Linked DNA regions of Cricetulus griseus. The protein of the gene in region 1 purifies or fractionates together with the protein of each later gene. This does not show direct contact. Links are inferred from orthologs where the notes say so. Each region holds a gene or a part of one and is shown in the gene's direction. Other genes may lie near its edges. The genes, in order: Stat1, Pias1 and Irf9.

Evidence for each region.
Region 2: the proteins of Stat1 (region 1) and Pias1 purify together in Homo sapiens (affinity purification with western blotting; 5 studies listed by BioGRID). This does not show direct contact. The link is inferred for Cricetulus griseus from reciprocal best matches to the Homo sapiens genes STAT1 and PIAS1.
Region 3: the proteins of Stat1 (region 1) and Irf9 purify together in Homo sapiens (affinity purification with western blotting; 5 studies listed by BioGRID and IntAct, with this or other methods). This does not show direct contact. The link is inferred for Cricetulus griseus from reciprocal best matches to the Homo sapiens genes STAT1 and IRF9.

Annotation. Positions count from the first base shown.
Region 1 is NC_048595.1:403,706,678-403,710,331, reverse strand, and holds part of Stat1 (signal transducer and activator of transcription 1-alpha/beta), read left to right. Parts: intron 1-502; coding exon 503-661; intron 662-1,286; coding exon 1,287-1,379; intron 1,380-2,894; coding exon 2,895-2,954; intron 2,955-3,654. UniProt on the Homo sapiens protein: Signal transducer and transcription activator that mediates cellular responses to interferons (IFNs), cytokine KITLG/SCF and other cytokines and other growth factors.
Region 2 is NC_048597.1:174,375,593-174,379,246, reverse strand, and holds part of Pias1 (E3 SUMO-protein ligase PIAS1), read left to right. Parts: intron 1-1,480; coding exon 1,481-1,611; intron 1,612-2,620; coding exon 2,621-2,801; intron 2,802-3,654. UniProt on the Homo sapiens protein: Functions as an E3-type small ubiquitin-like modifier (SUMO) ligase, stabilizing the interaction between UBE2I and the substrate, and as a SUMO-tethering factor. Catalyzes sumoylation of various proteins, such as CEBPB, MRE11, MTA1, PTK2 and PML.
Region 3 is NW_023276807.1:210,814,613-210,817,630, forward strand, and holds the end of Irf9 (interferon regulatory factor 9), read left to right. Parts: intron 1-403; coding exon 404-745; intron 746-1,648; coding exon 1,649-1,764; intron 1,765-1,892; coding exon 1,893-2,003; 3' UTR 2,004-2,489; downstream 2,490-3,018.

The DNA of each region.
Region 1 (3,654 bases):
AGAACTCTCAGCTCACACTCCATCATTGAGGGAAGTCAGGGCAGGAACCCAAAGCAGGAATCTGGACTCAGGAAGCCATATAGAGGTTTGCTCCTCTTGGCTTGTCAGCCTGCTTTTTATTCACCCCAGGATAACCTGCCCAGGGTTGGTACCATCCACAGTGGTCTGGGTCCTCCACATCAGTCATTAATTGAGAAAATGCATACCGGCTTGCCTAGGCAGTCTGATGGAGGCTCTCTTTCAATTGAGGTTCCTTTCCCAGAAAACTATAGCTTGTGTCAAGTTCACAAAACATCCAGGACAGTGGCTCTCAGAACCATGTTGTAATTCTTCAGTTCATGCTAGTCTTTACAAGCCACTGAGCTTAATGCTACCCCAGGCCTCCATCTCCCATGTCTCCCTGAGTGTGAAGTATGTACCACATGTTGATTCTGCAATTGTCTTTAAGCCAGGATGCTTTGGGACTGTGGCTCACTGAGACTCATGTCTTGTACCTTCCCAGGTTCACCATTGTTGCAGAGAGTCTGCAGCAGGTCCGTCAGCAGCTTAAAAAGCTGGAGGAGTTGGAACAGAAATTCACATATGAACCGGACCCTATTACAAAAAACAAGCAGGTGTTATCAGATCGTACCTTTGTCCTCTTCCAGCAGCTCATTCAGAGGTAAGCCCAGGAGGCTTGGCTTTATCCAGAACACCTATGGCCATTCAGACAGTTGGGAAGGGTTTGATGGGCTGTGCAAGTTTTTAATGGCACTCGATTCTTCCTGAATGCGTGGCTTGTGCCAGTGCCTCTTCCTTATTTTGGCTTCCTAGAGGAAGTGTGGTAATTTTTACTCCTTCTGCCCCTCAGCCAGTCCATATGTCTAGCCCAGCAAGTCTGACCTCTGAATGCCTGTCTTCTTCTCACCGTATGCCAGGCTCCCGTATCCAGTCTTCTAATCTCCCACAGCAGCCTCCCAACCAGCCCTTCGCAGCCTTTCTTCCTAGGCTCTGAGACCCACAGCTGGCTTTTGGTCTGGTCCTTCATTACCTGCTAGCCACATGGATCCCTCAGGCTACACCTTCATGGCCCCTTTTCCCAGTGACCTGGAGGCCACTCCACACTTAGAGCAGACAGTACTTTTCTTACCCAGTTTGTCAGACTCCCAAAATATTTTTCAGTGCTCCAATGTTTTCAGCCCTTCAATTTTTCCATCTATTTCCTCTTTGGTAAAAAAGTCATTTTTTTAACTGCTTTAACTTTTATAGAAATGCTAATTTATCTATACTTTGTTGAATGTTGACAGCTCATTTGTGGTGGAACGGCAGCCCTGTATGCCAACTCATCCTCAGAGGCCACTGGTTTTGAAGACTGGGGTACAGTTCACTGTAAAGTTGAGGTAATGAAGACATAGTCCCATATGCTGCCTGTCCCAGAATTTATGTCTGTCTCCCCCCTTTTTTTAAACCCTGACTTGATTTAGATTATAATCCTCCTGCCTCAGCTTTCTAAGTGGTGGGATAATAGGTATGTGTACCGCCACATCTAGCCTTTTAATTTTCTTTTATAAAATGGTTATATAGAGTGCTCCAGAGAAAACAGTTTTCTAATAGGCATTTTAATATGAACTCTTACTTTGAAGAGCCAAGGATTATGCTCAAACTATAACTAGTATAGTTGCATATATACACATGTACCTGATTTTTTCTAATTTTAAGAGGAACTTAGAATTTCAGAAATGTGTATAACACGCAATTAAAGTTCCCAGAAGCCTTCCCTGTGATAAGCAGAGGCTCATAATGGAGCTTTATGACTCCCAGATAGACACTGAAATAGTGTGTGAGTGTAGATTATGGCATGTACAGTTTTCTGTGAGTGAATTCATGTCCTTCACCAGGCTGAATCAGTGGTCTATGATCTAATATATGTGGACATCTGCAGTAAACATTCCATGTCTATTCTGCTATAATTTTGTCCATAAACATAAAAACATGTGTGCGTGTTTCACATACAAAAGTGTGTGTAAATATATGGCATGCAGCAATTCAGTTGTTAAAACTAGGATTATATTTGAATGTCACCTGCTTTACTCCTTGCTGCAGTTGTAGAGATGCTCTATACATCTAGGGAGTGGCTGCACTCAACAAGTTTTGCTCTGGGGATGAGCAACTAGACACTGCAGAGCTGGCTTGTCTTCTGCAGGTTGCTGCTGTGTGTACATAGGAGCTGTTTCTTTGGCAGGCAGTGTTACAGCAGCCCACATAAGCACCAGTGAAACCTAGAACTCATAACTGGTAGGAAAGAGGAAACTCCCCATCACCTGCTCCCCATCAGAGGCTGCAAGCCCCTCCCCACCACCACAGTCTCTAGCTATCAGAGCAGAGTACATGGAGTCTTAATCTACTCTCTCTTCTACACCACCAGTATTCGGGTGCCGTCCTGCTGTTTTCTGGTTATGGGTAGTAGTTGTAATTTAATTTCTTGGTGGTGCTTTATATTTTCTCCCAATAGCACAGGAAATTAAATACAAGTTTTGTAAGGACTGATGTTTACTTTTTTGCCCATATAGTATTGATCAAAAGTGGGCAGTTGGGTTAGAACTGTGTTGGTGGGTTACATACGAAAGCACTGCTTTCATTAACTTTTGTTAGAAGGTAAAGTCGGTGTTGTGTTCCGTTAGAGTTTAGTATTAGAATTTTTCCCAGAATTGTCAGCCAGGAATGGATTCTACAGATATACATAAGAAGAAAAGCCAAATATATATATACAAACTTGTCAGTTCATTGTAATAGCCCTAATCTAAAAGTGAAGAGAGTGGTTTACATAAATGCTTACAGTTGGGGAATTTGCTTAATAAATAAATTTTTGTCGATAGTTTATTTTTTTAAGGTAATGACTATTATTTTTTTTCCAGACTGCTGGTGAAATTACAAGAGCTGAATTATAATTTGAAAGTGAAAGTCTCATTTGATAAGTAAGATTTCTTTAATCTCATCTAAGATACTATTTTACATGCTGGTTTTGTTAACCTCCCTATCAAATAAACAGATCTGAAATTCTTCCCAGGACTCAGGGCTGAACTGCATGCAGGTCCTGAGACTGGCCAGTGAGGAGAGGCTACCCCAGGGCCATTCGTCACAGGCCTTCCTAGGAGACTTAAATCACTGGCTCCTTTTCTGAGGGCTGAGAGCTTTGCCTAGAGAAGGTACTTTCCTGACTAGAATAAACAAAAGCACAGAGGAGAGGATATTGCCATCCTCAGGTCTAAAGTAGTTGGACTTTGCACATCATACCTGTTAGGCCAGCTGCAGAGAAGAGGCCCTTAGTGCAGCACACACCCAAAGATCCAGACTTCGGTCTGTAGCAGTTGGGAGGCTGTCTCTGGAGTGACTATCTGGGGCTGGGATGAAGTGATGCTGTGGAGCCTGCTGCATTCACTTCTGTCTCCTCCGGCAGGGGTGGGAACCTAGCAATGGGCGGGATCTTTTATGGCAGGCCAAGTGAAGGAGCCTCATCCTGCTTACCCTCAGTTCCTACATCTCAGTTAGCGCTGACCTACCCACACCACTTACATTTAAGAAACACTCTCCCCATCCCATACACCTGTTACGATAAATCTTTCTGCCATAAGCGGCCCAGCCCCACCGCCACGTGGTGCCTACCTGAGTTAGGGC
Region 2 (3,654 bases), on another chromosome or scaffold:
TATGAGAAGGCGTAAGAGCCTGAAGGGAATATATACAAGCAATTGAATGTGTTTATCCATAGACTTACAACCCAGAGCTTTAAAGATGTCAGTCTTAGGAGAATATGATTAGCAGTGTTTCCTGTTTGATTTGTCATAAATGAAATGATAACTAACTTATAAATTTAAATTAATAGTAATATTTTACCAGCTCTGTATAGTATATATCTTAGGTTTTTTTGTTTGTTTGGTTTTGGTTTTTTTGGTTTTTTGGGGGGGGGCTTTCAAGACAGGGTTTTTCTGTATAGCTTTGGAGCCAACCTGGCAATTGCTCTGGAGACCAGGCTGGCCTCGAACTCACAGAGATCTGCCTGCCTCTGCCTTCCAAGTGCTGGGATTAAAGGCGTGTGCCACCAACGCCCGGCTATGATCTTTCCTTTCTTTTTGGTTTTTTTTTTTTTTTTCTTTCCTTAAAATAAAATCTGTTTCTGTGAAAATGGAAAGAACAGGAAATAAAAGCCATTTTTGATGTAACTTCTGGTTTTATTTTTACATAAATTCTGATTATATGCTATTAATAATAACTTTTAGTCTTTGGTTTCTTTTAACATTATTACCAGATGATTTGGTCACAATGAATTTCAAGCATTTCCTATAAATATTCTTTTAGTTCCAGTGTATTACTGTATTTGGACTTAATTGTTGGTTATACATTTTTTTTATTTTAATTTAGGTTTGTTTGTTTGTTGAGATAAGGTTTCTCTGTACAGCAGTGGCTGTCCTGGGACTTGCTTTGTAAACCAGGCTGGCCTCAGGTGTGCCTGCCTTTACCTCCCAAGTTTTGGGAAAAGCATGTACCACCACCACCTGGCTGATTGTACATTTTTATATGTATGGCTTCAGTTTATCAAATAAGACCTTATGAGCAATTTACCAGTGTATAGCATAAAGAAGAAAACTGAATACATATAAAATCACCACCCAGAGATAACTAGTGTATGCTTTTACTCACACCAAGAATCTTGTTTTGAGGTATCTTTTTTCTTAACCATCTCAGTTTTTGTGAACTGAGATGTATCTATGTATTTAAAAATCTTGGCCTGTGAGATGGCTCAGTGAATAAAGGTGCTTGCTGCCAAGGCTGACAGTCTGAATTCGATTCCCAGAACCCACATGGTGGAAGTAGAGAACCAACTCCTACAAGTTGTCTTCAGATTTCCACAAATGCACTGTGGTACCTACATACCCATATAACAAACACTAAATATTTTTAAATTGTCTTTTTTTTTTTTTCAGCGCTACATGACTTTTTTATATGAATGTTCCACAATTTGAGTAACTATTTTTTCCTATTTAGCATTAGGTTTTGAGAACAAATGTACTTTATCTGCTCTACTTTTTCTCCCATTTATTACTTGTATAAAACATAGGAGTTTTAGGAGTCATGTTTCTCATTTCTCTTCATGTAAGCTGCTGTACTAAGGACAGATTTTTTGTCTAGGTTGTTTATGGAGATCCTGAAGTACTGCACAGACTGTGATGAAATACAGTTTAAGGAGGATGGCTCATGGGCTCCGATGAGATCAAAAAAGGAAGTGCAGGAAGTTACTGCCTCCTACAATGGAGTTGACGGTGAGTAGCTGTTCACAAATCTGTGGTTGCCACTGTGATGTGCCATGACTTTCACGGATGTAGGGTTTTGAACATTCTGAGCTCAGTAATTGTTAGGTTATTGATGAAATGTTCACAAATAGCAGCATTCCTTTTAAATCAACTTTTTTTGCCAGTCTTAAGATTTTTATGGTACTAGCTTTCAAAGTATTCTAAAGTCACTTCTAAAATCACTTCTAAAATCACTTCTAAAATCGTAGTTTTAAAGTACACTACCCTTTTAAAGGATTTTATAGTTTTGGTACAGAGTAGTGAGCATTGCTTTTTCCATGTCTCTTTTTTTTCTTTTGTTTGTTTGATTTTTTTTTAGACAAGGTCTCACTGTGTAGCCCTAGATGGCCTGAAACTCGCAAGAGTTCCACTTGCCTCTCTCTGTCTCTTGAGTACTGAGACCAAAGGTGTGCTCCACCACACCTAGCTGCTTTTTTCTTTAAATATTTATATGTATATGTGGGTAGATTTGACCTTTAGTGTTTTGCTAGAAGGAGACAAAATTTTTTTTAAATATTAGTATTTCCTAGATATTTTGGATGCTGTATAGATAAGCATATATAACATTCAATCCTGCTCAAACTTTTATTCTAAAATGGACATAAAAGATACCTTTTTTTTTTTTTTTTTTTTTTGAGACAGGGTTTCTCTGTGTTGTTTTGGAGCCTGTCTTAGAACTCACTCTGTAGACCAGGCTGGCCTCGAACACAGAGTTACTCTACCTCTAGAGTGCTGTATTAAAGGCTTATGTCACCACAGCCAGCCATAAGATACATTTTGATTATTCTAATTCAAAACTTTTTTAAAATAATTCATTAACAACTAATAAGAAGTGGCAGTTTTAAACTTACTAGAACAGAGCCAGTGTTACAACTCTGGCTACAATAGTGTTGCTACTCTAAACTGATATGCTTGTCTACAAGGACACTTGAGAAAAGAGACTTGACATGGGTCTTGTGCTTTAATCATTCCCACACAGGATGCTTGAGCTCCACATTGGAGCATCAGGTAACTTCACACAACCAGTCCTCAAATAAAAACAAGAAAGTCGAGGTGATTGACCTAACCATAGACAGTTCATCAGATGAAGAGGAGGAAGAGCCCTCTGCCAAGAGGACCTGTCCTTCCCTGTCTCCTACATCACCACTAAATAATAAAGGGTGAGTGCTGCTAGGATCTTTCCAAAAAACTCTCTTGTGAAAGCTTGTTTGGTAAGTAGAGTAAAGGCTGCCAGATAAACTGCTATGCTTGAGTGCAGAATGTAGATTGACTTTTCCCAGGGATATAGCATTCTTGAGCAATTGAGTACTGCACTACAAGAGTTTGGATATACAATTCATTGTGTCGAGAGATGCTTGTGGCCTAGAAAGATGGCTCAATGATTAAGAGTGCTTGGTGCTCTTGCAGAGGACCTAAGTTCAGTTCCCAGCACCTACATACTGGCTCACAGCTGCCTGTAACTTCAGCTCCAAGGGTTCTGATGCCACCTTCTAGCCTCCAGGGATGAACACACACACACAATTTTTTTAAAAAATGATTCTGCTGCATGCAGTAGTTCTGATACATATCAGAATCACTAAGAGTTTTGTTTGTAGTTAACCAGCCCCCCCCCACACACACACTTTTTTTTAAAAGACTTGTTTTGTGTCTATGTGTGTGGAGGGGTTAGAAAACAACCTTTAAGAATTGGTTCTCTCTTTCTACCATGTGAGTCCCAGGATCAAACTTAGATCAATAGACTTAATAGCAAGTGTCTCTACTTGCTGAGCAATCTCACTAGCCCTCATTGAACCAATTTTTGGTTAATATTGTAAATAGAATTACTCTTGGACCAGGTGTGGTGGTGTACACCTTTAATCCCAGTACTTGGGAGGGCAGAGACAGGTGGATCTCTGAGTTCCAGATCAGCCTGCTATATAGAATGAGACCCTCCCCACCTCCCACCCCCCAAAAATGTTCTTTCCCTGAGGCCTCTCCTCCTCCTTTGTGGTGTGGCTTTCCTTCTGGAATTTT
Region 3 (3,018 bases), on another chromosome or scaffold:
ATTGTCCAGTCTGACCTCAGACTCACTGTGTAGCTCAAGATGACCTGGATTCCTGATCCTCCTGAGTATCCGGCTTACAGATGTGTGGCACCATGCCAAGGGTTGATTGTAGTGCTGGGTGTTGAACCCAGGGCTTTGTGCATGCTAGGCAACCATTCTTTCAGCTGAGCCAAACACCTTCTCTAACTCAGAAGGAACTGCCTCAGCCATGCAACCTTGTCTTTCCCAGTGCTTGCTTGGATTCCTGCCCTGAGTTCAGTTTTCCCATTAACAAAATGGGGACACTGGAGCACTTCATTTTTTCTGAAACTTTGTGCTGGTCAGGTGCAACATGAGAAGAGGGCCCCTTATTAGCCTTTAGGCTCCTCCCACACTTAATACAGCTGGGCTTTTCTGTTCCCAGACTACTCGCTGCTGCTCACCTTCATCTACAGTGGGCGTGTGGTGGGCGAGATCACGGTGGAGAGCCTAGACTGTCGCCTTGTGGCTGACCCCTCAGTCTCGGAGAGCAACATGCCACAAGTGGTGTTTCCCACACCTGATCCACTGGAGCCTATCCAGCACCTACTGAGTCAGCTTGAGAGAGGCATCCTGGTGGCCAGCAATTCCAGAGGCCTTTTTGTTCAGCGCCTTTGTCCCATCCCCGTCTCCTGGAATGCACCTGAGGCCCCACCTGGGCCTGGTCCGCATCTGCTGCCCAGCAATAAGTGTGTGGAGCTCTTCAGTACCACCTGCTTCTCTAGAGGTAAAGGCTTCCTAGCTGGGCACCTCAGCACCCACCCCTGTCTCTTTGTCCCCTGGGCCTGACCTGGGTTCCCCCCCTCCCCTGTCCGGCAGCAGATTGTCACCACAGCCTGTGCGTGGCACCCCTGCACTCGTGTGCCGCACATTATGTGGAGCTGTATGTTCAGCTCCGGCAGCATTTCCCTCGCCAAGGTCATGGTAGATGAGGTCCCGCTGGGTTCAGACAAGAGTGGCACATCTTGGGGGAGCATTGTACAAACAGGTTAACACGGATTTTAGCCTGCGACCATCTCCACACACTGCAACGCACAGCTCCGTTTGTGGAAGAGCCAAGACATCTTGCACACACTTGCCCCGCCCCACCATCTCTACCATGCTGTGGGGATCTCCTAAGACCGTCCCTTCCTTCTGGCCACCCATGAAATTCTAGTTGAGCCTCTGATTGTGAGCATAGGTAGGAACATAGAGGATAGCGTGGTGTCCCTGGGCTCCTAGTGCCCTAGTGTTGGGAGTATAAGCAAACAACAAAGGGTTGGTAGCCAGGGCTGCTGCTTCTGAGGCCTCCAAGGTACCCTTCCTACTGCACCGTGAAGACCACTTAATTCTTAGCATCTCTAAGCCACAGCTTTGCCCTGACCTTGGTGTCCTTGTTACCACATTCTCATATCTGCATCTGACTGCCCAGACAGCTCCACCTTACTCAAGGCCCTCTATATTGTTACTTTTTGTTTCTGAGTCAACTCTCACATTGCTCCTGGTGGCCTGGAACTCCCTAAGTAGACCAGGCTACTTCAAATCCATGGCAGCTCTCCTGCCCCAGCCTGAGTGCTGGGGTTACAGGCATATACCACCATGCCTGGCCTTCCCTCTTCTTTCTTCCAATCCTTGATCCTCTTTCTTTTAGACTTGGCCCAGTACTGCCAGGGCCAGGGCCCCCCACCCAAGTTCCAGGCAACCCTGCATTTCTGGGAGGAGAGGCCTGGCTCCAGCCACACCCAGGAGAATCTTATCACAGTGCAGGTGAGCTCCACTCCAAAACCAGGTCAACGTTGATTGGTTGCAGAACTGTTCCTAAGGGGGAGGAGCTACGGGGTAGTGACTGTGCCTGCAGTGCTCATGAGGCCTGTTCCTCATTTCTTCCCATACAGATGGAGCAGGCCTTTGCCCGGCATTTACTGGAGAAAATTCCAGAGGAGCAGAAAGCCGCTTTGTTTCTGTTACAGAACCCAGAACATCCATCTGCTGCTTTATCACTCTGATCCTCAGGTCTCTGTTGAAATAGTCTTGTTCTCCACACCATTGGTCTACCTGCTTTGTGTTGACTATCGATGTGGATTATACAACATGGCTGGTAGTGCAGGATCTTTTTATCCTTAAAATAACTATTTTGAGAGCCAGGCTTGTTGGTGAATATTTGTAATCTCAGCACTTGGGAGACAGACTGAATGACTTTTATTTACCTTTTTTTTAGATATACCCTCTTTCATCTCTAAGGAACTGGAAAGTTCTAAATGGTGTGATATCAGAGGGAATTTTGCTCTCTTTCCAACCCCTAACTCTAAATCTAAGCACTTTATGTTTCCTTCCTAGAATTAAATAAAATTTAACTTGGGGGGGAGGGTAGTACACATCTGTAACCTTGGCACCTGTGGGGCAGAGGCATGAAGAGTGAGAATTCAAGGCCAACCTTGGTAGCATATTATGACCCTGTCTCCAACAAATAAATAAAAGCTTTTTAAAAGAGAGATGAGTATGTGCTATGTTGGGAGAGGTAGCAGGGTTACAGGGGAATTATAAAGATATAGACTTGGGTATTTAGTACCTGGGCTCTCTTCCTGATGACCTCTCCAAGTTCCTTTGCTTTCCTCTGCCAGCAGGACTAGCTGGAATGCTGTCTGGCTCTGGAACCTAGTCTCAAACACATGGTGATTCTCCTCTCCCAGCCTCTTAAGTGCTGGGGTTACAGACACAGACCACCATCCATGACTGCCTTCTCTCTTTTCCAATCCTTGACCCTTCTATTTTGTTTTTCAGACTTGGCCTAGTACTTCCAAAGCTAGGGGTCCCCATCCAAGGTTCAGACAACCAAACTGGGGAAAGGATTGGGAGTCAATCTCTAAGAGAGGCCTACAGTCAAACGGCACTATAGCCACTGGTGGCTTAAATGAGAATAGGTTCTGTGTGCTCATACATTGGAACCCCCTTCCCCCGACCCCAGGGCAGGGTTTCTTTGTGTAGCCTTAGCTGTCCTGGAATTCTCTGTAGACCAGGCTA